4 linked regions of the Lonchura striata genome follow. The protein of the gene in region 4 purifies or fractionates together with the protein of the main gene of each other region. This does not show direct contact. Links are inferred from orthologs where the notes say so. Each region holds a gene or a part of one and is shown on either strand. Other genes may lie near its edges. The genes, in order: KIF18A, EIF2AK4, KIFBP and PPP1CC.

Evidence for each region.
Region 1: the proteins of PPP1CC (region 4) and KIF18A purify together in Homo sapiens (affinity purification with mass spectrometry; 4 studies listed by BioGRID and IntAct, counting the BioPlex papers as one, with this or other methods). This does not show direct contact. The link is inferred for Lonchura striata from reciprocal best matches to the Homo sapiens genes PPP1CC and KIF18A.
Region 2: the proteins of PPP1CC (region 4) and EIF2AK4 purify together in Homo sapiens (affinity purification with mass spectrometry; 3 studies listed by BioGRID and IntAct, counting the BioPlex papers as one, with this or other methods). This does not show direct contact. The link is inferred for Lonchura striata from reciprocal best matches to the Homo sapiens genes PPP1CC and EIF2AK4.
Region 3: the proteins of PPP1CC (region 4) and KIFBP purify together in Homo sapiens (affinity purification with mass spectrometry; 3 studies listed by BioGRID and IntAct, counting the BioPlex papers as one, with this or other methods). This does not show direct contact. The link is inferred for Lonchura striata from reciprocal best matches to the Homo sapiens genes PPP1CC and KIFBP.

Annotation. Positions count from the first base shown.
Region 1 is NC_134608.1:61,993,984-62,001,218, reverse strand, and holds the start of KIF18A (kinesin-like protein KIF18A), read right to left. Parts: upstream 3,012-7,235; 5' UTR 2,857-3,011; intron 2,204-2,856; exon of another isoform or gene 2,075-2,203; 5' UTR 2,016-2,074; coding exon 1,691-2,015; intron 1,025-1,690; coding exon 867-1,024; intron 1-866.
Region 2 is NC_134608.1:32,223,877-32,231,268, reverse strand, and holds the start of EIF2AK4 (eIF-2-alpha kinase GCN2), read right to left. Parts: upstream 3,020-7,392; 5' UTR 2,992-3,019; coding exon 2,839-2,991; intron 1,257-2,838; coding exon 1,141-1,256; intron 21-1,140; coding exon 1-20. UniProt on the Homo sapiens protein: Metabolic-stress sensing protein kinase that phosphorylates the alpha subunit of eukaryotic translation initiation factor 2 (EIF2S1/eIF-2-alpha) in response to low amino acid availability.
Region 3 is NC_134609.1:34,940,922-34,948,584, reverse strand, and holds the start of KIFBP (KIF-binding protein), read left to right. Parts: upstream 1-4,650; 5' UTR 4,651-4,678; coding exon 4,679-5,020; intron 5,021-7,292; coding exon 7,293-7,391; intron 7,392-7,663. Other genes in the region: nucleolar RNA helicase 2, read left to right, coding at 256-417, 976-1,095, 1,521-1,594, 2,351-2,510, 3,054-3,188, 3,568-3,612, 4,053-4,232. UniProt on the Homo sapiens protein: Activator of KIF1B plus-end-directed microtubule motor activity. Required for organization of axonal microtubules, and axonal outgrowth and maintenance during peripheral and central nervous system development.
Region 4 is NC_134620.1:11,979,138-11,986,852, reverse strand, and holds the start of PPP1CC (serine/threonine-protein phosphatase PP1-gamma catalytic subunit), read right to left. Parts: upstream 3,004-7,715; 5' UTR 2,894-3,003; coding exon 2,839-2,893; intron 1-2,838. UniProt on the Homo sapiens protein: Protein phosphatase that associates with over 200 regulatory proteins to form highly specific holoenzymes which dephosphorylate hundreds of biological targets.

The sequences.
Region 1 (7,235 bases), on a different chromosome or scaffold from region 4:
TAAAAATATCTTCCCATAGCTGACAGAATTAAATAAACAGAATTCACCAGTCTTTTTTAATACTCCTTTAGGACAAAGAAAAGAATTCTGGCTATAATTTTTTTACATTTTCCCCATACCAAGCTTAAATATTCAATTCATATGATTTCTTTTTAGATTTTAGGAGTAATTATTTTTAGTAAATAATCTTTATTCTTTATTGAAAAAATTACCTTTTTTTACAAAAAAACAGTTTTGCAACAAGCATGAATGCAAAGCATTTGGTTTTCCCCATTGTGTATCACAATCCCTACTTCAGTGACATTTCTTAGTTCAAACCTACTTCTGTTAAAATTTTTAAATCTCTTATTTCTTGGTCTGTAGAAGCATATGGCAAGGCAAACTTTCCCCATCTCCTTCTACCCCTCCCAAGTACCAACTAGAGTCCATTAAGACACTGAAGGAGCTAAAAAGATAACCATTTGACTAGCACCCTTCAGCAACAGTGCCAAAACATTTATTTGTAAAAACAGAAGACCATTTTGTGGTGCTTTTTCACAGTATTACAGGATGTTACTGTGAAGTCCTAAAATATTACCCTGAAATGATATTTCCTTGTACACATCAACAGATGCTCAGAGGCAAGACACAAATCATGAACAATCAGTAAGTATGGTAGAAGTGGTGTTTTTTGGGCAGCATTCTGTAAAACAGTGATAGGTGCCTAGGAACACAAATCACCAACAAGGAACACCAACAAGGCAGTTCCACTCCTATAAGGACACCTTTTGTCAAGCCCCAGAAAGGACCAGAGGAAAGCAAAACCAGCTTGTCTTTACTTACAAATATGACTTATTCAAAGCAACATATAAAATGCAGGAACTCACCTCCAAATAAGAGACAGCAACATCACATGTTTTATCATCTTTTATTTGATCCATGCGTTTATAAAGTGTGACCATAGTTAAATACATGACTCCAGGATCTTCAGGAGAACCTAACATTGTGTGAGTCTTTCCAGCTCCTGTTGCACCATATGCAAGCACTGAATTTCCCCCAAACAACGACAAAACAAAAACATGTAACTTATTTGTAAGCTAATCAGGAACACCAAAGACAAAAGAACATTTATAGACCTCTGTCATTCTGCACAACTGTTTCATAAATAGATAGTTTCTTACTTAAACTTTACCTTTCAGATCTCTAATTAGAGATGTTTCCAAATAACATTTTCGAATTTTCAGTTCAAAATTCATTCACTGCTACGTCACATAAAAATATTATTTACTTACTCTCATAACCCTAAGCCATCAACTTATTGCTGATAGGCATTTCAATTCCTCACCAGAGTCCAGCAGCCAATTAAAAAGCCCCAAGATCTTAAAGAGTTCATAAAGCAGCTTATGTCATACACTCAGTGACACAACTGCTTCTGCTTGAATAACTCTAGAGGACTCCCATTATCACATATATTTTAGATAAAATTCCCAAGTCTATTATAACCTTAACACAAACTTATTTTTAAAATGGAGTAGAGCTATCTAACTTCTATATGCTAAAATGTCAGCCTTTCATATCTGTGAATTAAATCACAATGCTTTATTTCTATCTCAGGCTTTTTTAACGCTCCTGCAGCTATTGGACAGAATGGTACAAATGTTGAGAAATCCCCGTAAGTTTTTCAATTAAATAAGATAAATAACAAAGTTACCTGTACAGTTATATCCATTTAGGAAGCCATCAATTAGATTTTTGGTAGTATGCTCAAAAACTTCCAACTGGGATGAGCTGTCATCAAAAATGGCATCAAACATGAACTTCAGGTCTTTCCTTTGTCTTTTATTGATATCCCTATGGATCACTCTCCTTCTGCTGAAGAAGCCAACCTCTTCCTCCTTTGGGTCAAAGACCAGCACGTGCTGGTCAATGACACGCACCACCCTGCTGAAGCTGCCCTGCTTTTCTTTCTGGCTCTCTGGCCGGACACGGACCACCACTTTGACATGGCTGCAGACATCTTCCCTGGCTGGAGTCATCCCTCCTGCTCCCCAGCCTCACTGCCAGCACTCGGTCAGATCCAGCAGCTGAATCCTTTCTGCAATTGACACAGAGAACATTTATTTCAATATGAGCCTTCACTCTTTCCAGCCATTCACACATTCGGTCAGGGCCCTGTGCTGGGCCCATCCCTTGTCATGGGACTGCCCCAGGGCAGCGAGGCTTTGGGAAGCTCTGTAAGCGCCCCAAAGGATGACTGAACTCAGCACAGCTCTCAGAAAGCCGACCAGCACTGCCCCAGGGAACTCTGAAGTTCATTTCACAATTCAAATACTCAATGCCCTACAGGCTTCCCTCTATAGCAGACCCAGCTTTCAGACCGGACACCACGTTTCTGTGGGCTAAAGCCAGCAGCCTTTCCCGTGTTGCCCTCCCTGGACAGACACAGCCACGTCGCAGGGAGCGTTGAAGAGCTGAAGCGGGATTTAGGTGAAGGTGCCCGGCACGGGCCGCAGTGACCGACACGAGCGGGATTTCCTCGCATATCCCATTTCTGCGGTTCCCAGCGGCTGCGCTCACCCCAGCGGCGGACACGGCGCAGCTCCCGCTGCCGGCCCAGGGCCGGCTCCTCTCCCGGCCGAGCCGCTGCCGGCCCGCCCGGCTCCGCGGCAGCGCCTGGCCCCGCGGGCCGCTCCTCCCCGGGGCACGGCGCCGGGCCGGGCCCTGCGGCCGGAGCGCTCCAGGGCCGGCCGCAGAGCCGCTGCCGGGCTCCGCCTGCGGCCGGGGCTCCGCTCCCCGTGCCCGGGGCTCGGCCGGCCGTGCCCGGGCCGTGCCCGCTCCCTCGCCGGGCCGTGCCCGCTCCCTCGCTCCGTCTCTCACCGGACCGTGCTCGCTCTCTCGCTCCGTCTCTCGCTCCGTCTCTCCCCGAGCCGTGCTCGCTGTCTCGCTCTGCTCTCCCCGAGCCGTGCCCGCTCTCTCTCTCGCTCTCTCGCTCTGCTCTCCCCGGGCCGTGCCCGCTCTCTCTCTCGCTCTCTCGCTCTCTCGCTCTCTCGCTCTGCTCTCCCCGGGCCGTGCCCGCTCTCTCTCTCGCTCTCTCGCTCCGCTCTCCCCGCGGCCGCACCAGCACCAACCGCCATCCGCCGGCCGCGGGATTCAAACCCGGCCAGGCCGCGCTCCTCGCCTTCCCATTGGCTGTGGCCTGTGACGTCACCGGAGCGCCGGCGGTAAGTGCGTGAGGCCGGGCGCGCGGGGGGCGGCGGCGGGGCCCGCGGGGAGGGAAGAGAGGGCGCGGAGGGAAGGGCGGCCGGCGTGAGGGAAGGGAGGCGCTCCCGGGGCGGCCTCTGCTCCGCGTATCGGTCCGGCCCGGCCCGGCTTGGCCGGGGACAGCCCCCGGCCGCTCCTCCCGCTCGGGCCCGGCGCGGGCCGCGGCCGCTGCCGCTGCTCCGGTCGGCTCTGACCGAAAGTGCTTCGGGCGGGGATTTTGTCCTCGCTGCTTTAGCGCAGGGCCGATCCCAGGGCGGCAGCCTGCAGTGGGGCCCGGTTCCCTTCTGGCGAGCACTGTTAGAGAAATGAAATGAAATCCGGCCGGCGTGCTCGCCGCTGAGATCTCCCGTGGGCAGGAGGCCGTGGCTGTGAGCGGAGTCCCTCGCGTCACCCCCGGGCCGGGCAGGGGATGGTGGCCCTGGTCCCGTTCAGCCGCTCCTCGCCCTCACAGAGGGGCCGGGACAGAAGGGGAAGGGTGGGAAGGCAGAAACAGCGGCTGAGTGGAGAGAGTTTCACGGGGGAGTCAAAGGCTGTGCAGGCAGGCAGAGCAAAACAAGGAATGCCTTCCCCTGGTCCAGCCATCTCCAGGAGAGCGGGGCCCATCGCAGATAACAGTGGTCACTTGGGAACACCAATGCCACCACCCCAGTCGTCCTCTTCCCGCGTTTCTGTCCGGATTACCGTGTCCTTTGGTCTGGAATATCCCTTGGGTGCATCTGGGTCTCCTGCCCAGCTGTGTCTCCTCCGTGCTGTGCCAGCAGAAATCCAAACCAGCCCCAGCTCAGCTGCTGGGGAGAAAATTAACTCCAGCCCGGGCAAAACCAGCAGAGCACACCATGGTCATAGATGTGTTTTCTGTAGGCACACTATGGCTTGTGGTGAAACACACACCTGCGTGTCTGCCCAAAGCTAGAGTGAGGTGCACTTGCAAATTTAAGCTGGGGGAATTACTGTAAAGTCCCTGTAGTCTGTATTGGAAGCAAAGACTACAAATTAGATTTTACCAGTCTACCTCACTGCTCAATGAAAAGTCAGTTCCAGTAAGTCCACACATAAAGAAAATACCTGAAATATGTAATTACTCAAAATACAATATAAAAGTCTCAGAAAAACACTAGATGAGATATTCCTATTTGTGTAAAAAGGTTTGGAGAAATTTCTTAACCCACGCCACTGAATCACCTTTATGTCAGGCTCCATCTGTAGAATTCTTACTCATGTAAATAATATAGGGCTTGAATTCCTGTTTTCTCCAGTGATTTTTAAACCTTTGCATTTCACTTGAAAAAGAGAAAAAGGGAATCTCAGAAGCCTGATTTTGCCATTTCTAGCAGTGTGGAAAGGGGCAGACATAGAAGGAGAGTTTTTTGATTGAAAGAATATGTAAGGTTGTGAGATGACATGAATTTCAGACTTTATCAGTAAAATTAAATGTGTAGTATTTAACATGTATTAAGTCATGCTGCCCATAAGAATATTGGCTATCCAAGAGATTTGTCAATTTTACAATAATAGAACTGCCATAAATGAGACCATAATTAAAACCTTATATTGAAAATTATCTGTTTCTAAATTAGTAAGTGTTGGAATCAAGGATCAGTTTCCCAAAAATTTGCTCGTATCTGAAGCAAAACATGTTGCCTGCTCATTTGTGCAGACAGATAGAAGCTACAGAAGGTAGTAAGTGATGCTATTTAACCCAGCAGGGATGAAACAGTTACTGAAATTGAGAAGAAACGATTTGTGATTTCATGGCCATGCTATCAAAATATCTGAACAGTCACTGTGTGCACCCAGACAGTGGCATTTGGAGTGAAGAGGTGAGGCAAAGACAGGAACAAAAGGCTAGGAAGTGGCGGTGGTTGTGGGCGGGAATTGTTGGAGATCTTTGGGTCAGTTCAGGGGAGCATAACCCTTGAGCCTTGCAGCGTGGCATCAGTGCAGTTTGCCAGAGCAGCTGTACCACCATCCCTGTTCAAACAGCCCACTGACCTCTCCAAGCAGCAGAACAAAGGATTAACACAGCAGAACTGACAGGTAAACCTTCCCATTTCAAGTTAGGCATGTTTCAGTGGAAACGAGGGAACAGAGTTAACAACGAGAACTGAACCCACCTCTCTATGGTCTGAAAGTTGGTGGGGATTCTTCCAAACAGTATAGTCTCCAGTGAGAGACTATTATGTTTCTACACAAGAGTGAGAGGCAGTTATAAATAATTATAGCATATAATATAACATAATATAACATAATATAATAAATATAGCTATATTAACAATATATATTATATAGTTGTATTAGTTTAATATATAATACTAGTATATATAATTCAATATATAGTATTACATACAATAGATATAAATAGATATATATACTATACTTACATATAAAAAATACTATTTATATATAATATTAGCTTTAAGTGTGTATGGTCACACTTTATGGAGTGTGAGACATTTCTGCATGTCCTCTGATAGAGCTAAGGGTAAGAGGTCAGCACATCTATTTTTCTTGGTGAAGGCCTGTTTAAAGAAAAATCTATGTTATGTATGGCAAGACAAATGAGGGTCTTTGCCTAGCATGTGGATTTAGGTTTCCACTTCATTTAATTCTGATGAATTTTTAAATTTCTGTTTATTTTCACAGCCAAAAGCCTGCTTTTATAATATATATCCCATAAAACCTGTCCATAGTCTCTACAGTTCATAATTGAGGAATGAACAGGAAGAGATGAAAGACAGCAAAATAGGTTACTGGGAAACTGATGATCTTTTAAAATAAAATTAGTATATGTTAAATTAAAAGTAAGAGACATTAAAGAGAAAATGCCAAACTGAAATAAAAATGGTCAGTGATGACTAGGAAAGCTATCACATGAGCATAGTAATAAGACATGTAACTGACAATAAAAATGGCTGAGATTAAATAATGGGAAGTGAATTAATGAGAGGAAAATCTGCTACTCTTCCCAAAGGTAGAGCTGGAAGCTAAAGAAACAACTAGTTATTTTAAGTCTTGGAGAATAGGCAGTGGAATTATTGAGGGTGTGAAGAGAGTGTACTGACGTGAAAATAAATTTTGGGAAAACATTACTGAAAATATTAAAGCAAGCTCTTTTATGGCTTCAACAATAAAGATTAAAGCCAGCTTGTCCTGATTTCAAAGTTACCTTCAAGGTTGTACAAGTAGCAATCCCATAGAAAGCCAAATGAATCCGAAAAAATGTAGCCCTTCTCTGGAGAAGAGGCAGGATTGGTGTAGAGAAGGTCACTGGTCCTAGAAGGTCCATCCCCCTTTCTCCTCTGAGCTGCAGAAGGGGAAGTGGAAAATGCAGTTACCTGACAGCTCTACTGCCCAGACAATTGAACTAGTAGCAGATCCAAAAGAAGAAAAAAAAGGTGTCTCATAACAGCCCAGCCCCAGACTGAGCAAGAGCAAAGGACCAAATCCAAATTCCACAAGTATGGAAGACTTGGAAGATTTGAATATTAGTTAATTTAATTTCATGTCATTTAAGATAGCTGTTTCAGGCACGTGTTATTCACATGAAAAAAGTGTTCTGGTGATGGGACTATTAAACCCTCTGTTTTCTATTTCTTATCTGCTGGGGTGTTGTTATTACTAATATTACTGCTACCGAATTCACACTGTAGAAACGTCAAACATAGCAACAGAAATTATGACCCAGGCCATTAAGAGCAGAAAAACAAACTTTCCCTGAAAACAAACATTATTCAAAAATTTTTAAAAATGGATAGAGGGAAGAAGTGAACCTAGACATGTGTTCCACTTCTGCACATAACAGAAATACCAGGAATAAAATTACTAAGAATATGTCCAAAAGGTGTGGTGCTGAAAAAGAGGAGCCATAACTAAATTTTTTTTTCCTGACTTTTGTGATGTCATTTTAAATTTTAGTAACTTAAAAAATGCTTTATTAAAAATATCCTATCAATCACAAACTATCTCACAAGATACCCTCATGATTTTCATACATC
Region 2 (7,392 bases), on a different chromosome or scaffold from region 4:
TTAGTTGTATTTCAGGAACTCTGTGGGACAGCAACAAAACATAAAAAAGTCCTCATTAGGAAAATTGAGTGCAAAAAGTAACAGATTGTTGATAAAAACTGTGTGAGGGAAAAGGAATGGTATTCACAGTTACTTGGCAATTAGTCAATGCTCAAATAAGCAGAATATAAATATTACATATACAAGATAAAGTCAGAAATATGGTATTATATTCCCAATCATCAAATTTTCCAGTTGCCGATTATTTCTTGATAACACTTATCAGCAGAACTACCAAAGAAACACTACAGACTTAATAATTCCTGCTCTTAACCATTAACTTATTGAACAAGTCATTTACAACATTACTAAGACAACATTTAGATGTTTAAAATTTATTTATCACCACTATATAGATAACACAAAACCTAAGAAACAAATGCAATAAATAAATATCAGCTATATTTAAAAATATTTAAAATAAACAAGGAAAATGTAGGTGTGTTGTTTTAAACTAAAACAAAAAAATGAGTAGCTGTTACATCCTTGTTATAGAGTATAACTGAGCTATCACTTAATAAGGAATAGCATTTCCCTTCTACAGCACTCATGCCACAGCACAAATGGATGGACTGAAGGGAGTTATGTTTTGGACTATCAGTGGAATAAGGACTAAACAAAAGAGCACACAGAGCAACACTTAACACAAAAATCACTTGCCAACACAAAATGCTGGGGTAGGCTGGTCACCTGCAACTCCTACACTCTCTATGGAGAATTCTTCCAAAAGCTAATCCAACAGATGGCTTTAAATAGAAAGGAGATTCAGTCTGTCTCAGGTGAAAGAGTCAGGAGTTCACGAAGTTTAACAAGGGCACTAAGACAGTGGCAGGTACACCTGTGGTCATGTACCGCCAAGCTACAAACTGGGGCTGCACTTCTGCACTGACACACTGATCCCTATTATTCTCCATTGCACAAAAAGACTAAATCCAATTCAGGTGCCAAAGTTTAGGGTTGCATATTATAAAATACCCCAGGCTTAATAAATACTGATATGTAGAAAGCAAGACTAAGTGATGAATAAAACTACATGTCTTTTCAACTTACACTTTGCTACAGAAAGCAGAGAAAAGAGGTTATAATTTAACATTCACTTACGTATCAGGGTAAGTATGTGGACACTTGACCCACAGGTCAACTTTGGCATATACTTCATTAGCACCGGTCAATCCCTGAGGACGCAGAACTAAATTAATTTCAGGAGGTTGTCGTACCTAAAACACAAACCAAAACTTCTGATTGAAAAGGGTTGTTTGGTTTTGCTTTAATAAAATCACACAGCTCTCAATCTATATTATAGTAGAATACAGCTTAGACCATCCAAACCATTGAAAAAATACATTAATATGTTGACATTGCTTAATAGGTGTGGTCTGGTCCACTGACTATCATGGTATATCCAGTATATTTTTACAAAGTCTTCAGATAAGCATAGTTACAGCCATTAGAAAGATAATTCAGACTGAGCAAAAATTAGATTCTATAATAAAACTTTTGTATTCTGCTTACTGTTAAGACAACAGTAGAAAAAAATAAATAAACTTAACACAGGTTATTTATATCACAAATTAAAGCATTCATTATAACAACAGCATTTTTCATTTGTGTTTAGATTACTAACCCAGGCATTATTTTACTTTCTGACATGGCAGCAGACCATAATGTCACACTGATCTACACCTTACACAGTCAAACAAATGGACAGTATTTTTTTTTTTTTTTGTAGTTGTATTTTGTGTTTTGCCATAAACCAGAATTTTAATAAGCATTGCCTTTCCCATCCCTTCCCTGCTCAAATTACCTACTCAAAATCAGAATAAAGTAAAATACGCCCATATAAGTATTCCCAACTTTTTCTTTTCAATTAGGTTTAAAAACAAGCAACAAAACAACCCAGCCCTCAGCAACATGAAAAACAGGGAGTGAAGTAAGACTACATGTAATAACAAATACAGAAACAGATGGTAACTGTCCCCTTTGCTTTTCCAGCAAGGAGGAGATCATGTCAGGTGAAGAGGGTATCAGATATGACCTTCAATACAGAGTGAATATTTCTGGAAACCCAACAAATTACTTAAGTATTCTTACCAAACTTCAAAAAAAGAGAAAAAAGTCATAAGATGCTGCAAAATATTTAACTTCAAGTCTCTGACACAAAAGAAAGCAGAGGATATCTTATAGACATTCAAGATGCAAGAATGCAAAAGGAAACAACAGTAAAAGTGAACCTGTGGAACAGAATAGTGACCATTATCTCCAGATACAGGAAAACAGTATCATGGACACAGTTGGAAAGGAAATATCAATTTGATGGGGACCCAAAAGACAAATGGAAGAGAGTAGTGAGTACCAGGCCTGAGCTGGTAATAAAAAAACCCCACACCCATAAAAATGAAAGCAAAATTATTATCATGGAAATAGAGGCATTGCAACAAAACCACGGTATATAATAACTATAATAACTATATCATCATGTATACCGACGAGATTAATTAGCTGAGCAAGTATGTAACTAGTAGGTTAAGGAATTAATTAAGAGGCAATATTTAAAAAGCCTAACAATTATTTAGAATGCAATTCATGAGCACGGGTGTGATCATAGAGTGAGCGCTGCTATCTCGAGAATCAATCGCAAAGGGGGCCGGTTGCAGGGCTGAGGGAAGGACCACGGGCACGCAGCGAGAGCCGCGACACGTCGGGCAAGGAAGGCAAGGAGCGGCCTCAGCCGGGCAGCGCCAGCCGCGTCCCCGCCGCCCTCCGAACCCGCTCCGCACCGGCCCCGGCCCCGCTCGCTACCTTCCAGGCCTGGCTCTGCCGCAGGTCCTGGAAGTCCTGCCCGTAAATGGACTCCAGCACCTGGAGCTCGTTCTCCTGCCGCAGCTGGTAGCTCTCCGGCGGCTCCGCGGCGAGCTCCGCCGGCAGCTGCCGCCCGCCGCTGGCCCGCGCCATGTCAGCGGCGGCGGGGGCGCGCAGCGGCCATGGCGGGCCCCGGTGCCGGGCTGGGGCTGGAGCCGGAGCGGGCCCGGCGCCGCCTCCGCCGCGGCGGCAGGAGGAGGAGCCGGGGCCGGGGCTGCCGGCGCCGCGTGGGCCCCGGTGGTTCGTCCGCAGGAATGCATCGAGCTGGAATGGGCCCCTAAGGATCGCCGAGTGCAGCGCCCTGCTCCTCACGGGACTCCCGAATACTAAACAGTGACTAAGAGCACTGTCCAAACTCTGGGACGCTTGGTGCCACGGCCACTTCCCTGGGAACCTGTTCCGGTGACCAGCCACCCTCTGGGGTGAAGAACCTTTCCTAATGTCCAGTCTGAACTCCCTCAAGATATGCCTCCAGGTATATCTGCATTACAGGGATACACAGCAAAGACAGTGAGATACTGTGTAGTTCATTTAAAACTGATACTGAGAAAGAGTTACAAAAGGAAAACACTAACCACGGATTTCAGTATAGATTTCATGTAGAGCTAGATTTCATGTAGTTCCTGTGGAAACTGTAGAAAAGTTCCCACCGATAGTTGCTGTAGTGAGTAATAGCAGGTGGAGGGCGAACAGTTTTTTGTTGAACTGCAAACAAAAAAGTGAGGGCGGGTGTGCTTGGTGGGACCTGCCAGAGAGAGGCAGCTGGGGACTGTCAGGGAGCAGTGACAACCAGAGAAGAAAATGTGCTTTCCTTCGGTCACTTCACACCGTAATTACTGAAAAGGACTGCCACGAGAGGGAGCCTTTAAAGTTTTGGAATCTTCATAAAGAAACCCTAAGTAAATTCATACATACAAGCTTATCCATTAAGTAAAGTAATCCCCAGGCAAAGAAAAGTGTTACAGTAGTCTGCAGCTTGCTACCACTCACCCAGATGTAGGAATGGAGTTTTGGTGACTTTGACTTTACTCCCTGACCCTTGAGTACAGATATTTTGTTATAAAGAGACCACTCATTTACGCTAATGACCAGTTTCTATAGCCCTCAATTTGTACTTCTGAAATTGAAAGCTTGTTCCACCCACACTTTATCTTTCAGTCGCACTGAAACAACCTCGTTAGTATCAAACCAAAAACAAGTGTTAAATTGTATCACTATTGTGATGCTGGTCTCCGTTCCTCACCATTCCTAGAATGTGTCTTTAGTGGCAAGGTCTTTCTAGCTCACCTGCTTTTTGGTGGGAAATGCATGACCAAAGATGTTTATAGTGTTTACCAACAACAGAGACATACTTTTTTGCTCAGTCATCTGTGTCCTGGGGCACTGTAACTGATCACTGGAGTTTCCTCTGGTACAGCTGGGTATAGTTATTATCAATTTGTATATAATAGATAAAAAGTTTCCCTGTGTTAAAGACTGGAAATAAAAGTGTCTAGGCCACAGATTCATCTTCTCTCCCACACAAATACACAGCAAGAATGACTTGGTGATATAGTAACTAAGAAATGTCAGCAAAATTTCCTTTAACAGCGATTATAGGTTTATACTTCCCGAGCATGTGGTGTGGGGCACACAGCCCACCACATGGGAAATTTCTCCCTGTGACACTGTATAGCAGTGGGTGGGCCAAATAAGGGTATGCCTTTTAAAGCTGCCCGACTTTCCCATACTTTTGTGACTTGACAAAATTTTAACCAGTTAAGATGAAGTGCTCTAGACCAGATGTCTACCTCAAGCTATTTTTTCTCCTTAATTGCTTTTATAATGATTCATTGTTTCTAAGAAGAAAGCCAGAGTAAACTAACATAATCATAAAAACATTCTGAGAATTTGTTTTTAAAAGTCTTGTACTCCAGCAGGAGTGTGAAAATTCGATGAGGAAGAGACAACCTTTTTCAAGTTCTGTGGCTTTGCTAACTAACCTTCTGAAAATCTGCATGAACTAAACCAAATTACATTACTGCAGGGAGTATTCACATGCTTAGCACCATTTTACTGGAATATGATGAACATCCACCTGCCTCAAACATGTGCCAGACTGCATCTGGACAGAAGCTTTGCTTCCAAGATTTAAGGCAAAATTTAAAACTCTCTCCCACAACATTAAAATTTAATTCTAGCAAATAAAATTTAAATGATTTGTGAGAATGTGCTTTCACTTCCCCATGTGCACAGTGAGGGGAAGTCAGTCTTCCTATGAAGTGCAGGAGGGACAGAAAAGGTTCCGAGTGTTAAGAGTAAGAAATTTGGCAGAAAATAAAACCTCTTGCATTCCAGCTGGTCTCCAGAGATCAGAGGAGCTGCATTTACTTACAGCATGGTCTAAGCAGAGTGTTGAATAATACAGTCATTTTTGTGGTAGCATGTACTTCATTAAGCTTATTAGCATATGCAGATGTGAGTTTGTAAATATTTAAATGACTTTTAATCAGGCAAAGATTTCTTTTTTGGCCATGGTGTCCTTCAAAGTTCCAGTCATGCAACATACTTCTGTTCTGTTCCATTCCTAAGTCAAACCTGGACCATCCTATGCCCACAGGACCTCTTCCTTTAGAAAACTCAATCTTTCTTGACTATGCAGATCTGTGCAGACATCGCATCAGATACACAGTAAGCATTGCCTGCCTCCTTAGTCATCATTCCATACCAATGGAGGAACTGAAGAAAGGGATGGCTGTGTGAGGAAGAGCACCTTGCAGGTGACTGGGAGCTGAAGGGACTGAGGTCAGACTCTGGTTACAGACATTGGCCACAAGAATGCTGGAGGCCAAAAGGAGGAAGAAGCCTGTTCAGGAAAGGAAAGATAAGGGGAAAGCATGGTGAAAGTTGCTGATTATTGCTTGGAAAGTGGGGAAGAATGGGACTGGGTGGACAAAGTGAATGAGTGTGTGGAAGAGGTAGGAGGGTGAGTGAGTCAGAGACATGACTTAGTAGAAAAGTGGCTGGAGCAATGAACTCCCAGAGGAATGAGAGAAGGCTTCAAATGCCTGGGCCCAAACACATGGAGGTACAAGCAGAGGTTTGGCCAACAGCCTCCAGGAACTGCAGTGGAATGGGACAATGGCAGTCTGATATTCCTGTGGTCAGCAAATGCCTTTGAACACATGGCACAGCACCTAGGTCTGTCCTGGATCACCAAAGTTCACATCGCAGGAGACTGGGCATATGTCACTGAACACATAAGTGTTGGGTCCCTGAGGAAGCAGCGCTGTGTAGGGGCTGACCACATGGGTAACTCGTCTTCCTGGGGCACTTCCAGACTGGCGGCCAGTGGCTGAAAAAACCTTTTTGGCTTAATTTTCAACTAGCACCTCCCCAACACCTCCAAATTAAAGACAATCGTGTACCCACTATATGGATGCACACCATCAATGCCCGAACCTATTACGTCCACTGACAAGCTTTTCTGGAAAATTACTCATCTAGAAAAAGATCTATTTTAACAAGCAACATGCGTATCTAGAACCCAGCACCGTATTTTGACAGTGCGTCATCAGAATTAGGGACCTGTTTCAAAACACCGGTTTAAAACGCGCCCGCCCGCTCCCGCAGCCCCCGAGCGAAATGGCGGCGCCGCCGAGCGCCGCGGCCGCGGTTCCGTGATGGCGGCGCGCCCGCCCTTGGGAGCGCGGCGGGCCGGGCGCTCCTGCTTCGGCCCGGCTCGGGATCGCCGCGGGGTTTGGCACTCGGGGCCGCAGAGGCTCGGCGGCCGCTCCGGGATGTGGGAGCTCGGCGGAGCAGGGGCGCCGCTGCCAGCCGCGCTCAGTGCGGGCCGCGCAGGGATCGAATGGAGCCGCCTCGAGCGCCCCCGCCTTGCGAGTCAAGCCCCGGTTCCTCTCGCCCAGAGCAGCGGGAGCGCCGCGGCAGCCCCTGAGCAGTCCCTGGCCTCTCTGGACGCTGTGCTGGGGTCGTAGCGGCGTCCGGCGCCGCGCACAGCCCGCAGAGAGGCGGGAGGGAGCGGGCAGGAGCAGAGGAGAGGGCGGAAGCAGATGTGTTACCGGGAAAGCCATGCTTTTCCTCTCTCAGGGCTGTGAGCAAAGCCAGAGCCAACGCTGAGAGTGAGGGGACAGAGTTGGTGGCCCCCACTCTTGCAGGCCGGTTTTGCTGTGCAGTGAATCCGCGGCCGTGCGAGCGTGTGACCCGCCGCGGTGCGGGGTGTGATTCTGGGGACCGGGATCCCTTCTCTCGCATATTGCGGTAAAACATGCTGAGGAGACCTGTGGCGGTGTGAAGTAAAAACTATGGCACAGCTGATGGGAAGGAGAAGCCTGGCTTGTTTTCTGCTTTTGTTTGCTGGCTGTCATGAGTTACAAGGTGAAAAGACGAACAGTCAGCCTGCTTCTCGGGACGCAGGAATGTGGTGAAGATGCCTCCGAGAGGCAGAGACCGGGCTTTTATCCTCAGAAGCGTCTTTTGACCTGTGCGCTGCATTCA
Region 3 (7,663 bases), on a different chromosome or scaffold from region 4:
GGGAATACATGGTTTGCCTATGTACCATCCGCAATAAAAAATTGCAGCAATAATTTCTGCTTGTTGGCCATGCTGCTTTCACAGTAAATCCCAGAGAAGGATCAAATAAAGTAGGATGCTTTATATTCCTTTGGTATCAGCTATGTAATTATTTTCTGTTGCTGTGCACAGTGTTTTGAGGTTTGCAGTTACTCTTTAGATGCTGCAGCCTAGACTCCCATTAAATGTCATGTTAATGGCTTGTTTTATTGACAGGATGCCCAGTCCTTGCATGGTGACATTCCACAGAAACAGAGAGAAATCACATTAAAAGGCTTCAGAAATGGTGTGTTCGAAGTGCTGATTGCAACAAATGTAGCTGCCCGTGGTTTGGATATTCCTGAGGTTGACCTTGTTATACAGTGCTCACCACCAAAAGTAAGTCATTAGAGGAAACTAAAATTGGATTAGCTTTATTTTGGTGCCAGAATAGTGGGTTATTCCTTTGTTTCATCAGAAGTATGTTCTGTTCCAATTAATTTTTGAATTAATTAATGTTTTGTAAATGTGAGGCCTAAAATTTCATAGTTACAGTTTTTCAGTTTGAGCTTTGATTAAAGTCTTGGGTTTTGTTTACTCTGGAAACTCACAGGTTTTGACATTGTGAAACTTTCCTGAATTCTTTCTGCATGTTGCTGAGTTTCATAAAAATTCTAAAATATTTTTGCTGCTTTTTTAATCTTTTGCAACTCCAGTGGAACATTTTATTTAGAAAACTTAAAATGTCTGTCAGCAGTGTTTGTTAAAGCTGAGCAGCATACTTTGGGTGGGGGAGCACATGCAATCCTGAGTGGTTTATGTGTAATTGTAAGTTTGGGTATAAACACATAATGTGTCACTCCTTAGGCTTCTGAGTTTGAATTTAGCTTGTGTTTAATCTGAAATGTCAGCAGTTTAAATAACATAGTTTTCTCGTGTTGATCTGAATTTGTGAAGGATGTGGATTCTTACATCCACCGTTCTGGACGCACGGGCCGAGCGGGCCGGACCGGCATCTGCATTTGTTTGTTTCAGAGAAGAGAAGAAGATCTTCTGAAGCAAGTCGAGCACAAAGCGGTGAGTTGTACCTCAGAGCTCTGCTTAAGGAAATGGATCAGCTCCTGAAAGGACCCTGCCACTCTTGGACTTGGTAATCGTGGGTTGCTGAGTCCAGAATGGGAGTGTCCAGTGCCATAAACTAGTAGGCCCAAAGTGCTGATATTTGGTGTTTGTAAATGCTTTTGTGTTGGCCTGTTCTTGCATTGCCTGAGTTTTCCCGTGCAACATGCACTGTGTGCCTTGCATCACAGTGTGCATGTACATTGGAGTGAAGTAACTCCAGATTAACAAAGCTGGGAACTTAAAAGCTTTTTTATCACTTTAGAAATGACTTAATAAAGAGTATGTTGATCTTGCAAACAGTAAGTAGAGATCTCAGTTACATAATTTAGACAGGACTGAATTGTAGACTGCTGAAAATACCTTTGTTTTCTTGATTTCAGGGTATTACCTTTAAGCGTGTGGGTGTTCCCTCTGCTACAGATGTAATTAAAGCTTCAAGTAGTGATGCCAAAAAGTAAGTTTATTTGCCTGTTCTTGAGAAAGATTTAGAGATGTTGTTGCTCTAGATGCTTAAGAGTTTAATGCACAATTTTAAGGGATCAGGCCTACATGTGAGCATGGCTTTGCCTGTGTTGTAGAAGTCAGCTGCTTTGTGTATAGCAAACATAAGATGGTATCAGTAACGCTCTGTGTGCTGAACACAGACATTTTCATAGAACATAATGTTCTCTAAGTTTTTGCAGCAAACGAACCTTTGTTTATAAAATCAGAAATCAGTGACAGAAGAAGGAATTACTATCAAGAGGGGAAGATGATTTTATCTGCTCAGATGACGTGGTGGAAGCAGTGCGCAAAGAGCAATACTTGGTATAATGAGGAGTTATTCTGCAGTAGTGAGGGTGTTTTAGCCCTGACTTTTGTTTCATTATATTATTTCTGAGGGTTGTGGCTCTGTTTACATCATGCAGCTCTGTTTAAATTTGCTGCCCTGTGGTGGAAATTGCCTTGAAGCAGGTTATTATAATTAGTGAGGATTTGACCAGTATAAAGTAGATGATGGGCATGGTATTTGGGTTCACAGTGTACTGAAAAATGATGGGGGGAGTGGTTGTACCAGAAATAGCATTACAGAAGTATCTCTTCTTGGATTCCTATCTTTTTTCCCTCCCTACCTTTTTCAGAAAAGACTGATTTAGGGTATATCTTAAACATGGCTGCCCTTCACAATGGCCTTTTCTTATCTCTTTAAACCCATCTTGTAACTGTGTAGGTTGTTGGAGGCTGTTCCTCCTGCTGCAGTGGACTACTTCAGAAAATCGGCCGAGGAGCTGATAAATGAGAAGGGGGCAGTGGCTGCCCTGGCTGCAGCCCTGGCACACATTTCTGGGGCAGCTCACATCCAGCAGCGCTCCCTGCTCAACTCAACAGCTGTAAGTAATGATGTACCCCTGGTAAAAAGGATGGATGCATGAATTGCTTGTGTTTAGGCCATGTCTGGCATCTCATTCCCAGGCTTTTCCTTCTGGGTTTCTGAATAGCTGTTGTCCCCAGGTTCCTTAGCTGAAATCAGCTGTTCCAGGAGAAACTTAAAATCAGTAAACTTTCTTGTGATGAAAATGGAAAGAATTTCTCCAGAGGCTGAAGTGGCAGAAAACTTTGATGCTCTAAGAGAGTTTAACTAATGACATTTTACAATTAATGACAATTTACAAGCAAATAGATTAGTTTGTGCTATTGTGGTTTCCCCCTTATCAAGAATCTTCTACATTTGTCGTAATGCAAGTACAGCCTGTGATTACCTGATCTGTATTTAGGGAGGATGTGGCCTAGGCCCTTGTGTGGTAACCCCATTTTGCACGTAACTGTCTGATTGAATTGTAATTCTTCTATCACTTTGGGTTTTTTAATCTGTTTTCTAGCAGCAGGTTTGACCACGTTCAGCCTTGATAAACGTTTTTCTCCATTTCCTGCAGGGCTTTGTGACCATGGTGTTGAAGTGTTCAATAGAGATGCATAGCATGCGCTATGCCTGGCGGGGGCTGAAGGAGCAGCTTGGGGAGGAGGTCGATAACAAAGTGTCTGCAATGCGTTTCCTCAAGGGGAAGATGGTAAGGTGGCCCAGCCTTGGCAATGAAGGGATGTGGGGCTTTGTGTGTGTTCACATGTCGCCAGTTTGTGCAGGGATTGAGGCTGGAGTTCTGAAGTATTGGTACAGAATGTTGGTACTGCACTGTCCCTACTCAATCTCATTTCTCAGGAAATGGGTAACCTAGCATGAGTATGCTGTTTATGCATATGCTATTGGGAAAAGAAAAGGCTTTGATATTAGTTGAGGGCTTTAAAAGACTTATTAGATAGTACTCATATATGATGATGCAGGAATTGCCTCCTAAAAAAAAGCATCAGAAATAATATGTAGTGGGATTGGTTACTGAGGCTTTTATTCTTTCATTGTTAATCAGTGCCTCTTTTTGTTTGTTTTTTTAGGGCGTGTGCTTTGATATCCCTGTTGATGAACTAAGTAGTATACAGGTATGTTTGTGTAGCCAGAGCTGGCTTTAAAACCTGGTGATATGAAAACTGGCAATTGCCATATAAGATTGAGTATGGGGTGGTTAGGGAGGTTTGTGGTTTAATAAGAATTTTGCATAGGCAACAGAGTGATTAGAAAGAGCACAGCATAATCATTAGAAAATACCCTGCCATGCCTCTTCTCATTTCCATGATATTACTTGATTTCATTAAACAAAATTCTAAGGTCTTTGGCTTTTCTGTGGTCTGGCCTCTCCAGTGTACTTGAGAATTCACCAGTTTTCTGTTGACTTCATTCTCTCTTGTCCCTTGTGATTGTTTAACCTTTGTCACAGGACTGTGAGGGTCTCCCAGGGGGATCTAATGGCCTGTTTTGGCAGGAGTGGGATTTGTCTGGAAATGCCTTAGCATAAAGTCTGGTTCCATGGGTCTTGTTTCAGGAGCAGTGGAGGGACACGCGGCGCTGGCAGCTGTCGGTGGCCAGTGAGCTGCCTGAGCTGGAGGAGTATCCGCAGGAGGGGGGACGAGGCTTCTCCAGGTTTGGGAACAGCAGGCAAGGAGACTTCAAGAGAAACAGCTGGTTCAAGAGCGGAAATCGGGGACTTCAACAGAGCACTTGATTGATCTCCCCTACAAATAGTGGGACTGAACTGAATTTTATGAGGCAGTAAAAACCTGTTAGCCTCCTCTTTGTCTTTATTCCTTGATAAAGCAACCTTGTCTTTGAGGATGGCGAAAAATCATGTTTGCTGAAATGGCTGGGTGTTGTGTGAGATTTTTTTTTCTGCCCAGCAAAGTAGCTGCTGCCTGTAAGGGCATATGTGACCCAGTGGGTGTGCCTGGAAACTCAGCCCTGCGAGGGACCAGAATTCATCCAAGCACGGACAGTGACCGCTCCGTGGCTCTTCAGCAGCGCTAAAAAATCGAGTTCTGAAATAAATTTTTGTCATAAAAGCTGGCGTCCAGCCTGAGCGGGCGGCGGGCTGGCCGCGCTGCGGGCGCTCCCTCACGGCCCGCCGGGGGCGCGGCCATGGCGGGGCGGGGCGGCGCGCGGGCAGGCGGGAAGATGGCGGCGGGCGCCGGCTGGCCCGCGGTGTGCGAGAAGTTCCGCGCCGCCCGCACGCTCTCGGCCGTGGAGTCCCTCAAGGACCCCGAGACGGAGCCCTACCGCTCCAAGTACAGCGCCCGGGCGCTGCTGCAGGAGGTGAAGCAGCTGCTGAGCGCCGCCGAGGAGGGCGGCGAGGCGGTGCTGGCCGTGCGGCGGGCCGTGCTGGAGTACGAGCTGGGCGTCAACCACACGGACACCGAGGAGCTGTCGGCCGGCGAGGAGCACCTGCAGCGCTGCACGCAGCTGCTGGAGCCGCACCGCCTGTCCCCGGACTGCGTGTCCCTGTACATCCAGGCCCAGGTGGGCTGCAGGCCGCGGGGCTGGGCGCGGGGCTCCGGCGGAGCGGGGCCTGGTGTCTGGGGGCTGGGCCGGCTGCTCTATGCGGGGGACTGTGAGGAGATCCGGGCTCCCGCGTCCTGACAGCTGCTGCTCGTTTAACCGTAATAAACACAGCAGCCCTGGCCTTCAGTTCTTGCCGGAAGGAGTCGTTCGCAAGTGGTGGCCGTTGGAGGGGTGCTTTTCTGTTTTGAGCCTCCTGCTGATGCCTCTGGGCATGCGGAGCATCTGAAATATGGCCTCGTTGAAGCTGGGTGTTGATAGATCAGCGTGCTCTTCTGGACAGGCTGAGACAAAACTTGTAAGAACTGTGCCCGAAAAAATTAGAAAAAGACCTCACTACGTCCAGAATTTGTGATTCCTTAACTCGCTGGTTGTCAGAGTGATGCTGGGGGATGCTTTATTGATGCATTATCCTGAAACAATATATTGTTTGTTTTTCAGCACTGCCTCTTATATTGTAAGCTATTACATTTTGTCCCAGATGGATAAATACAGTTTTGTTGGTGCTTGAAGTAATAATATTTTCTCTTTATTCTGAAGAAGGGAATACTGTTACCAAAATTAGTTCTTGGTGCATGAGGATTCACAGAAGGGCCCGTACTTGATCCTCTGTCATGGTAGCTGGTGGTTAGGTATCTGACTCTAGACCATGAAATAGTTTTCTAGTATATGAAATAGAGCAGTTATTTAGATATCTGTGTCAAAAACGGTTGCCCTAATTAGAGATGGCTCTATAGTGCTTCCTCATCGAACTGTCAAGGAATTGTGGGCTGACATGGAAAGGTGGAAGTGAAAGGATCACTTGTCTTACACTGGTTAAATTGGCTGCGTTGTCTGGGACAGTGAGGTTGCATCTGCTCCTTGTATTTCAGCGTGAGGGTTTGGATACGCTGCTACAATTCTGTTACCCTTGGGAAGGTAAGGAGATTGCTCCAGCTGGAGCAAAATAGCATCTTCCCACACCTTCCTGGGGAGATGTGGCTCAGGACCAGAGATTCCACTGTGCTTCTGAACTGGTGTGCTGGAAGGCAGCTCTTCTCTCTCTCTGTTAGCCCAGAGTCTGCAGGACCTCAGTGCTTCGGGGCCTTCAGGAAGCAGCAGGACGGAGTTTGTTATGCATGTGGAGATGTGGTCCAGCAGCGCTGGCTCTGCTGGTACCTGGCACTGTCCTGAGGGGTGGAGCTGAGCACAGCGCTGGGAAATGAGCCCTCAGCCCAAGGGCTGGAACAGGCTTGAGTACTTACTTTAAACCATTTCTGACTTTAAAGCAGTGATTGCCATCAGTGGAAGTACTTTTCCACCTTGTGAGGTGTCTACACTGTGTTGCCATGGCACTGACTGGCATTTTGTAGGAAGAAGCATTCCTTTTTCCTGCTGGGCCTCTTTTTTAGCCCCACTTCTGATTTCTGAGCTCTTGCATAAGATTGTGTTTCCCAGTCTCTGCCTAATGGAGTCTGGTCTGTTCCACTGCTTGGCCTTCGGCAAAGTGTTTCAGTTCATAAACAACATGGGATGTGCTTTCTTATAAAAATAGTAGAATGGAGTTGAAAGGGGCAGAGGGCTGGCATACAGCTGTACATTCTAATTATTTTGAAGGTTTTTAGGGTTTTTTTTTCTTTTGAGTTTCGTAACAGCACTGCCTAGGATTTAAACTAGCACATCATTAGGATTATTATAAACACCACCTTATTAATAAAATGAGAGGTTTTTTTTGTTAAAGTTGGGTTCAGAGATGCAGTTGCTTTAATTTAATTTTGAAGGCAGTAGTCTATAACCTTTAGACCTCAGAGGTGCTTTTCATCCTTTCCATGGTTCAAATATACAAGCATTCATTCCTAGCATATTTTTTTCTTGTTAATTTTTTCTGTGGAGTCATGTTAACAAAATTCTGATTTCTTGTCTCTTTTTATGACATTTGTCTGTGATGTAAAAGCTGCATGAATTGGATGCAGAACATACTCTGTGGAAAAAGCTCATTATTTGAACACACTAGTCCTTCTCTAGCAGAGTGAACAGAGTAGGATTGAGGTACATTTTTATATGAAATTTTCTGTGTGAAAACTCCCTCCCTTTTGAGCAACTCACAGTGAAATGTGTGGGTACAATTTCTGCCTTTTGAAATCCATGGTATTAGAACACAAATATATATAAGGATGAAGACTGATGAATTGTTTGGAAAAAAATGTGTGATTAAAATGGAATGTGACTATTTTTTTTTTTCTTTTACCTTTAGAACAATCTGGGGATCCTGTGGTCTCAAAGGGATGAAATTGAAACTGCACAAACTTACTTGGAATCTGCAGAAGCCTTGTATAATCAGTACATGAAAGAGGTATTGTGTTAATGTCGTGGCAGGTCTTACTCCCATGTGCCACTTCCAGGTTAAGTAATCCATGAAATAAACATGCAATGGAATTTTGAGTTTCTGTGCTTTATACTGGCTGCTGTGATACTTATGCCAAGTGATACAAGTTGTACTGCAGTATAGGACAAGGCAAATTAGAGCATTACTTGCTAATTTCAAAATAGAAAAAAATTTGCTCAAAAATAATGGTCCCTTTTGAAAGCCCTTTAATAATCCAAAGTTGATGCCTGGTAGAATTT
Region 4 (7,715 bases):
TCAGTAAAGAACGGAAAAAAATACAAATTCGGTTACAGAAAAATAAAAATAATAATAATAAAAAAACACACCAGTATTTTCAATGTTTTCCCTGAATGGCTTTCCCAGGTTGAGAACAATGCTACTGAAAAATGGTGGTGGGTTTTTTTTTTTTTTTTGGTGACATCTCAATGCCAAATGGTTCTGTACTATAAACAATTGAAGCAAGGAAGACTCTTCAAATATTTACCTTAGAATGAGAAGCTGAAGTATATATTTCCAGGCCTTTTAAAGAAAAAGATAATAATTTCACCTAAATAGCCTAATGTGGGTGGGAGAACATCCCTATTTGAGGGAAAAGTAGGAATAATGTCAGTTGAGCAGAGGAGTCAGGATAGAAAGCAACTAAAATCCTTCACAAATACATTATTAATACCCTTTATTAAGGACAAAAGCAAGAATAATTTATTATTCACCCTTCACTCTACCTCAACCATTAGACTCAATTCACTGCTTCTTCTAACAGGGCAATGCTAAGGACCATGATAAAACAAATACCTAACTGTACCTGCCCACTGATTTCCAGTATTTCATTAGTGCTGGGGTTTGTTACCCTTAGAAAGGGCTAAACCCCCTGCTCATACTCTTTAAATTTTAGTACCAAAATCACCTAAAGTTAGCTGCTATAAAAATGTGTAAGTATTTAAAGTTTAAAGAGAGCTATAATGAAATACCAAATAGCTCTAAAATTACAGCTTGCACAAGGATTTGGGCAATTCAGTTTGTGAGCTGATTATTAAAGCAGATTTTGCAGTGTTTTTATGCCTGAGTATGATTTTAATCTGTGTGTAGCCTTGTCTAAAGGGGTATTGACACAGAGCTCACGGGCACACCACACTTTGTGTAACTAACATTATGCACTTGTTCTACCAGAACTGCACTGAAAACCAATAATTTCTTTGATCTAAATCTAAAATGCAGTGTGTGCTGAAATGCAGCCATGTTTTAGGAAAAAGAAGTATAAAAATGACACTCACAAAGGTCAGTCATTACTCTCTGTCTGGCAAAGACATTTAGAACAGACATTTAATAATCAACAAATAAAGCACTAGCACAGGTTACTAACACCAGTAATTGTTTTAAATATTGAAAGACAATCATTGCCTCAAGGCATCCAAAATCCCAGCTGCTGTATTAATAAAGGGAAAAAAATTAATTTCAGTTCTGGCAGCTGATGCAACCTCAGGTAACATCTGCAATTGCACGAAGCACCTCTTAAAATATGTCAGTAAACCTTTTGAAGCCTGATTCATGAATTCTTATCTGCTCCAACCATCTAATGTTGATATAAACTGAGCAAGAGCAGAACACATTGACATAGTACGTCTTACTACCTTTTGAAACTTTAAACAGAGAAATCACTTGCATTTCTTTCTAGGAAAGGTCTAAGCCATGCTTTTAAAAATTAAAGTTCACACTTTGGAAATATTGCATTAATTACAGTAAGTGAAATCAGTAAGAACTATAACTAATGAGTGCAATTCAACTGAGCATGTATTAATATGTCACCAAACATATGACATACGAGACCTGACATTTACAAGTTGTATTACTGGATTTTCAGGAAAATCCTGGTCTAACTTTATGAAGGGAAGTCTTTAAATAATTGAAACCAGGGCGGTTTAAATTGGTAACAGGCAAAACCCAAACCGGATCAGAGGAAAAACCCCATTTACTTTTACTTATTCAGTAATCCCATAATTCATCTACAGGATTTTTTAACTCCAATTTTCTAGAGTAGAATTTCTGTTCCTCTGCCTGACCTTTTGCTATCTAAGCATTACACAAGCAAAATCCTGTAAGAAGGAAAAGTGTGCAAGAAAAGACATTTCTTCATCATTTTTCTCAGCACCATCTCAGCTGACTGTGTGCCAAATGGTAAAAAGTTAAATCCCTGACCAAGCTTTTCAAGAGTAAGTCCAGATGAGATGCTGCCCTGGCACACGTGAAGTGAGGCTGGATCAGCATAGCTTCTTTCTTTGAATAATTATGCTTTTCCTTGATGCCTGGAAGAGAATTTGTCATTGGCAGCTTCTCAGTCTTTTGCCCCAAAATCAGTCGATCCCAGCCCAGTGCTGATCCCTGCAAGCGAAGGGATGATGCTGGAGACACCCCCTGCAACTTCCAGGTTTTCCCTTGATTTACAAACTCCCAGGCAACTCTTTTCATCCCAAAGCACCAACAATAGCAGACAATAAGCCCTTTTTCAGACTGTCTGAAACACCAAACCCCAACCCTCTATTCACACCTAAAATCCCACCATATGTTACGAATTAAGAGCCAAAATCCTGTGGCAGCTTTAATGCAAGCAGCTAATCAAAGCTAAAGCCAGCATACACTGAAACCCACGGCAGTCTCCTCCCGACTTGCTGAAAAGCTGCCTCAACACTCTTTAAACAAGCCGAGTCTTATTTCCAGAGCCCCGCCACTACCCAGCCATGCACTGATCCCATGTGTATGCGTGAAAGGCAAGAGAACACCCCAGGCTTTTTCAAAGCCCTTCCTACGAAATACTACTAGATTAAGCATCCCCTCATTCCACCACAGGACTAGATTAAGCATCCCCTTAGAACCGCAAGGGACGAGAAGGGGGCAGCCGGCTGGTCCCAGCATTGCACCGGGGGATCAAAAGGCAGAAACGCCTCGGAAACCCACACGGGCTGAGGGGAAAGTTGGGGCGAGCCAGGCGGGGAGGCGGCGACCCCAGGCAGACAAAGCGCCTCTCGCCCCTCCATTTTAGTGCCCCCTCAGACCTGCCGGGCGCATCGCCCCCCCAACCGCGCCGTCCCCGACCCTCACCCTCCAGCAGCCGTTGGATGATGCTGTCGATGTTGAGCTTGTCTATATCCGCCATCGCCTCTCAGCGGCCGGGCGGAGCCCTCCCCGCCGCTCCGCTCGCGGCTTGGCCGGCCCGACTGCGCTCCTCGTTCTGTCTCGTTTTTGCCCTTTTCCTGCTCTGCGCCTCGCCTCGCTCCCTCCGCTCCCCCCCCCGCCCCCTCAGCACAGAGCCAGCGCTGAACAAAATGGCCGCCGTCCCCTCAGCGGGCTCGCCTGGCGCACGGATACGAACGAGCGCGACGCGGCCCGTCGGAAACCCTTCATAGGCCGGGCGGGAAGAGCGGGCGCGGTGATGCGGCCCGGTTCGCGGGATCCTGCCGCTCCCGGGACGGGAAGTAGTGCGGCGGTGCCGCCTCCCGGTGTCGCGACAGAATCAGTGGTGGCGGTCGCAGGGTGCCAGGATCCATTAGGATGGAAAAGAGCTGCGAGATCGTCGAGTCCAGCCTATAACCGAACAGCATTATGTCACCTAGACCATGTCACCGAGGAGTGTAACATTCAGTCCTTCCCTGAGGGACAGGGACTCTGCCACGTCCCTGTGCAGCCCGTTCCAATGTCTGATCACCTTTTTCTGTGGAGAAAGGTCTGCACCTTGTGGCGTTCTTGCAGACTGGGATCTGCAGAGGACATCAAGGAGCCACCATGGCCCTCACATCATCCCCTCACTGCCCCTCACACCCACATGTGGGGGAGATGGTGGCTTCAGGTGGGATTTTGGGGCACTTCAGGGTTGGGGGAGCACAGCCGTGATGTCCTTCACCTCACACTGAGCCACCTCCACCTCACGGGTTGAGGCAAGGTGTCCTGAGCAGCTCCTCAGCTCCTGAGCACTTTCAGACACGTGGCTCTGCACCTGCAAATCCTTCAAGAAACAAACGTACAGCACTTTCAAGTCCTTGCAGATGAAGGAATGAAGCTCCTCGTTCAAAAGCATCTCGCTGTTTATTTCACACTTTTATTATTTTATTCTATATGTAGCTACAGCTTGGTTACAAGCACTTAAATGAGGTTTAAACTGGATGGTGTTTGTCCAGGAGACAGGCTGTGCGAGCCTTCCCCACCGTTCAGTCTGTACCTCGAGTTGAATATTGTTTTATTGCTTTATTTACTCCTACTTTAATTTGCGGGGCTGGCTGTGTCGAGCTCTTTCCTCGTCCCCTCCCTTCCCTGGGTGGATTGCTCCCACTATCCTGTCGGGTTCCTCCTTGCCAGCAGTTATACAATTTTCATTGCAGCTCATTGCCGTGGTGGGGCCGGAGCAGAGTTCGGATTCGTGCGGGTGATAAAGCAAAGGACTTGCAGTCTCAGCACACCTCAGGTCTGCGGGAGGAAGGAGATAAGAGGATGCAGAGTCTACCTGAAACACAGGCTCAGGCCCCTTGCAAGAGCAGCCTCAACACTCCACTTCCCCGAGCGAACACTTATCGTATGGAGCACGCCCAAGCTGATATGCTAATCTTAGTCACGCTGGTGTAAACCCAAAGTAACCCCATGGAAAACAATAGAGTTACTTCAGATTTGCTTCAACGTGACAGCCTTTGCAGATTTACATCTATTTTTGTGCTGCACCTTCTCGGGGAAGGGCCCCTCCGGCTCTTGCACCGAATACTTTCTTTCTCTTTCAAATCCTTCCTAATTCTGCAGGGCGAGTTGTTCTCTTGGACTTAGCTGAACTATTTAACAAGGAAAATTGGTCCTGTGTTTCCAGAGGAACCTTCCTGGCCTTGTTTTCATTTCTGTAAATATCTTCATCTCATCTCACCCTTCAGCTCTTATCTCCTCTCCAGGGACAAGTTCTCTGGGGATCTGAGCACCTTTAGTGGGTGTTGAGTACTTTTCACTCCTGTTAACTCTCTGGGAAATGGGATGGAGGGGAAGAGTTTAGCAACCCAGGTCAACCCAGACAACGTACTTGGGAATTCACCTGGAAACTCCATACTTCTGAAAGGACAGAACTGGCCCTTCAAAACAAGGTCAGGGCAAAGAATCTGTCTCACTTGCTGAACCATATCAGGCAAGGTCCAGAGCACTGATAATTCTTGTAAAAAGAGGTGTAGCCAGGAGGAAAGAAGAGAAATGACAGATAAAGGTGAATCTGTAAAGGCCTCGTCATCACCTTTATAACCAACTCGCCTTGTTCCAGCTCTAAATCTCAACAGCAGCTGCCAATGCTTGGTGTCCTGTTCGGAGCAGGCTGGATTTTTGCACAGGGTCTTTCTCATTATCATAAAAAAAAAGGACCCTTCCTTATCAGTAAACTCCATGGAGAGCCAGAGTTATATTAAAATGCCACTACAAAATTATCTTTTTAATAAGGTAGCTTTTCTCTGCAGGAAATAACCAGCCTCGCCCCACACCCTGATTAGAAAAGGGACCCAACCAAGGCATTATAAGTATCATGAAGCTGTTTTGTTCTCTGGTGTTGCTCACAACAATGATTTATTTCTAGAGAAGGAACAGATTTATTTCCAGAGAGGGAACAGCCAGGGAAATCCTTTTGTCCTTAAATTTTGCACATGGGCTTGAAGCACTCCATAATTTTGAAGCTCACGCTTCATATACCAACAACTCCACCCCTTCTTTCAATTTGTCTACAATTCTTTTCCTACTTTCTTACTAGCAAAATACATGGTGATTAACAATTTGTTCAGTACAAATCATTCACAGCTCATGGCTCTGAGACCTCTGGGTCTTTTCCTCCTTTCCCCCCTTTAAATTCCACAAATCACCACTTTGGTCTCATTCCTTGGAAACCTCTGTGTAAAACACCTTTCCCCAGTGATTTGTCCTTGCCCTCTCTTGCAAGTGTTGCTTTATTATTGTATTGTTGCTCATAATCTGGTTAAGTTTAAGAATATATAAATTATACATATAATATCCACCTACATATAGAGAAAAATAAGATTTCAGTATTGTTCTGTACATATATATAAATATATACTGTGAGTACAATATAATACATATTTACACCATGTACACAAACATACATGTGTATATATGTACAAAAAATAATTACATTTCCCTGATTTATCCCTGTTTGTAGGCGGATCCTGAGAAATGTGAAGCACCCACACTTTTAGATTACATATTTGCTAAGCCCATGAAATTCAGTGTGTTTGTGTACATTTCAAACAAAGATCTACACGGGCTCTCCAAACACTGCTAAAACAAGAATGGGTGACTTGTAGGTCAGGTGTTATTTTTCCTAACTCGCTCCACAGCCAGGATTCCAATGTTTTCATAACTCCTACTGTTTGCACCCAGCTTGCCTGGCGTTACAATTGAGATAAAGCCTCATGCACACTCTTGCTTTTCATTCCTAAAATATTTTGCTAACCCCCAAATTTCAGCAGGGTTTTGAGGGTGGGTGGCGCTGATTTGTCAGACAAAAGAGAAGCAGCCGGAGCGAGCTGTGAGGCTGATCTGGAGATGGAAGGGTCTGTGTCCTGCTGCAAGGGGAGCTGATGACGCACAGGCAGGAGTTTTCTTAGTGTCGTGTTTTATTTACAAAACGCGCGGTGCCACGATCTCCCTCCAGCAACAAAACTTGTGGATCCTGCGCGTTCCTGTGCGGAACCCGGCGAGGAGCTCGGGGCTGGCAGCTGCTCCTGAGCTTCCAGCACAGCCTTGGGGCTCTCCAAGGACTCAAACCTTGTGCAGAAATGGAATGAGACCTCATTCCCAGGCAGCCAGCAGCAGGATTCCTGCTGGAGACTTCCTTACACTCTTCTCAAGGGTGTACCCTGCATAACAGAGCCAGGCCTTGATTTCCACCAAGCTGATGGTTTCCCAATCTTAACAACCGGTCTCCATCTGAAACCATCCCCCAAAAGCTGTCAACATCAATGGCAAGTCCATCTCAAGCTTGTTAAAATCCCATTTTTTGGATACCAAAGTTAAAAAAATTCAGCTCAGAAAATTTTGAGACAGGTAATTTTGACATGGGAGAAATATGACTTGCCATTCCTCTCCTCCTAGTGGGTTTTTAAAAATTTATTTATTAGAAGTTGTTGTACTTCATGGGTTTCTGGTGAAAGGTACTTTCAAATGGAAAAATATTCTATTGGTGAATTTTGGAAGGTTCATGCTCACAAAAATACTATCAATAAAATCCTTCTCATTTAAAAATATCATAAGTCCCTTTTTTTTTCCCAATATAGCAGTGACCACTATAGGATTTTTCCTGCTGCAGCACTTTGGATTAGGAAAACCCAGCATATTCCATACTCCTGATGAATTTCTCAGTTGAATCTGACTTTTAAAGCTCTGAGATGAGGCACAAGAGCCATTTTGATGTGTCCTGTCCATGGCTGAGCATCCTTGGGCAAAGCATGGCCATCATCTGCTCTGCTGCTTGGAGAAAGAGGAGAAAGAGCTCCAAAGGAGGCTTTGTCCTGCTTTAAGTGGAGAGCAGCCGTGGCGGATCAGTTGACGCCGCTTTGGCACCGAGAGGAGCCCTGTCTTCCCCTCTTCCTCAGGAATCCCTTTGCTCGGCCAAAGGGAGTTGCATAACCAGCTGGAAAGATCTTGTGGGCTTCCACAGGGGCTCAGCTGAGCTGTTCTCAGAGGGGAAAAGGAAAAAACACAGACAGCAGCCAGTGCTGAACACCCAGCAAAGGGGGTTTTTGCCCCTTTTCCGGCTAGTTTGTGGTGGGGTGAGCACAACTTCCCCTTCGCAGCGTCAGCAACTCTCAGCACAGCTCACTTGGATGTAGTGGCACAGGGGGATGTGAGCAGACCATGCAAAACAAGTAGAAGCCACTCAAAGCCCCACTTTGCTGCTCCATGTGGGACATTTCTGTGTGGCTGCAGCCTCACGTGGCTCGAAGGCAGCGCAT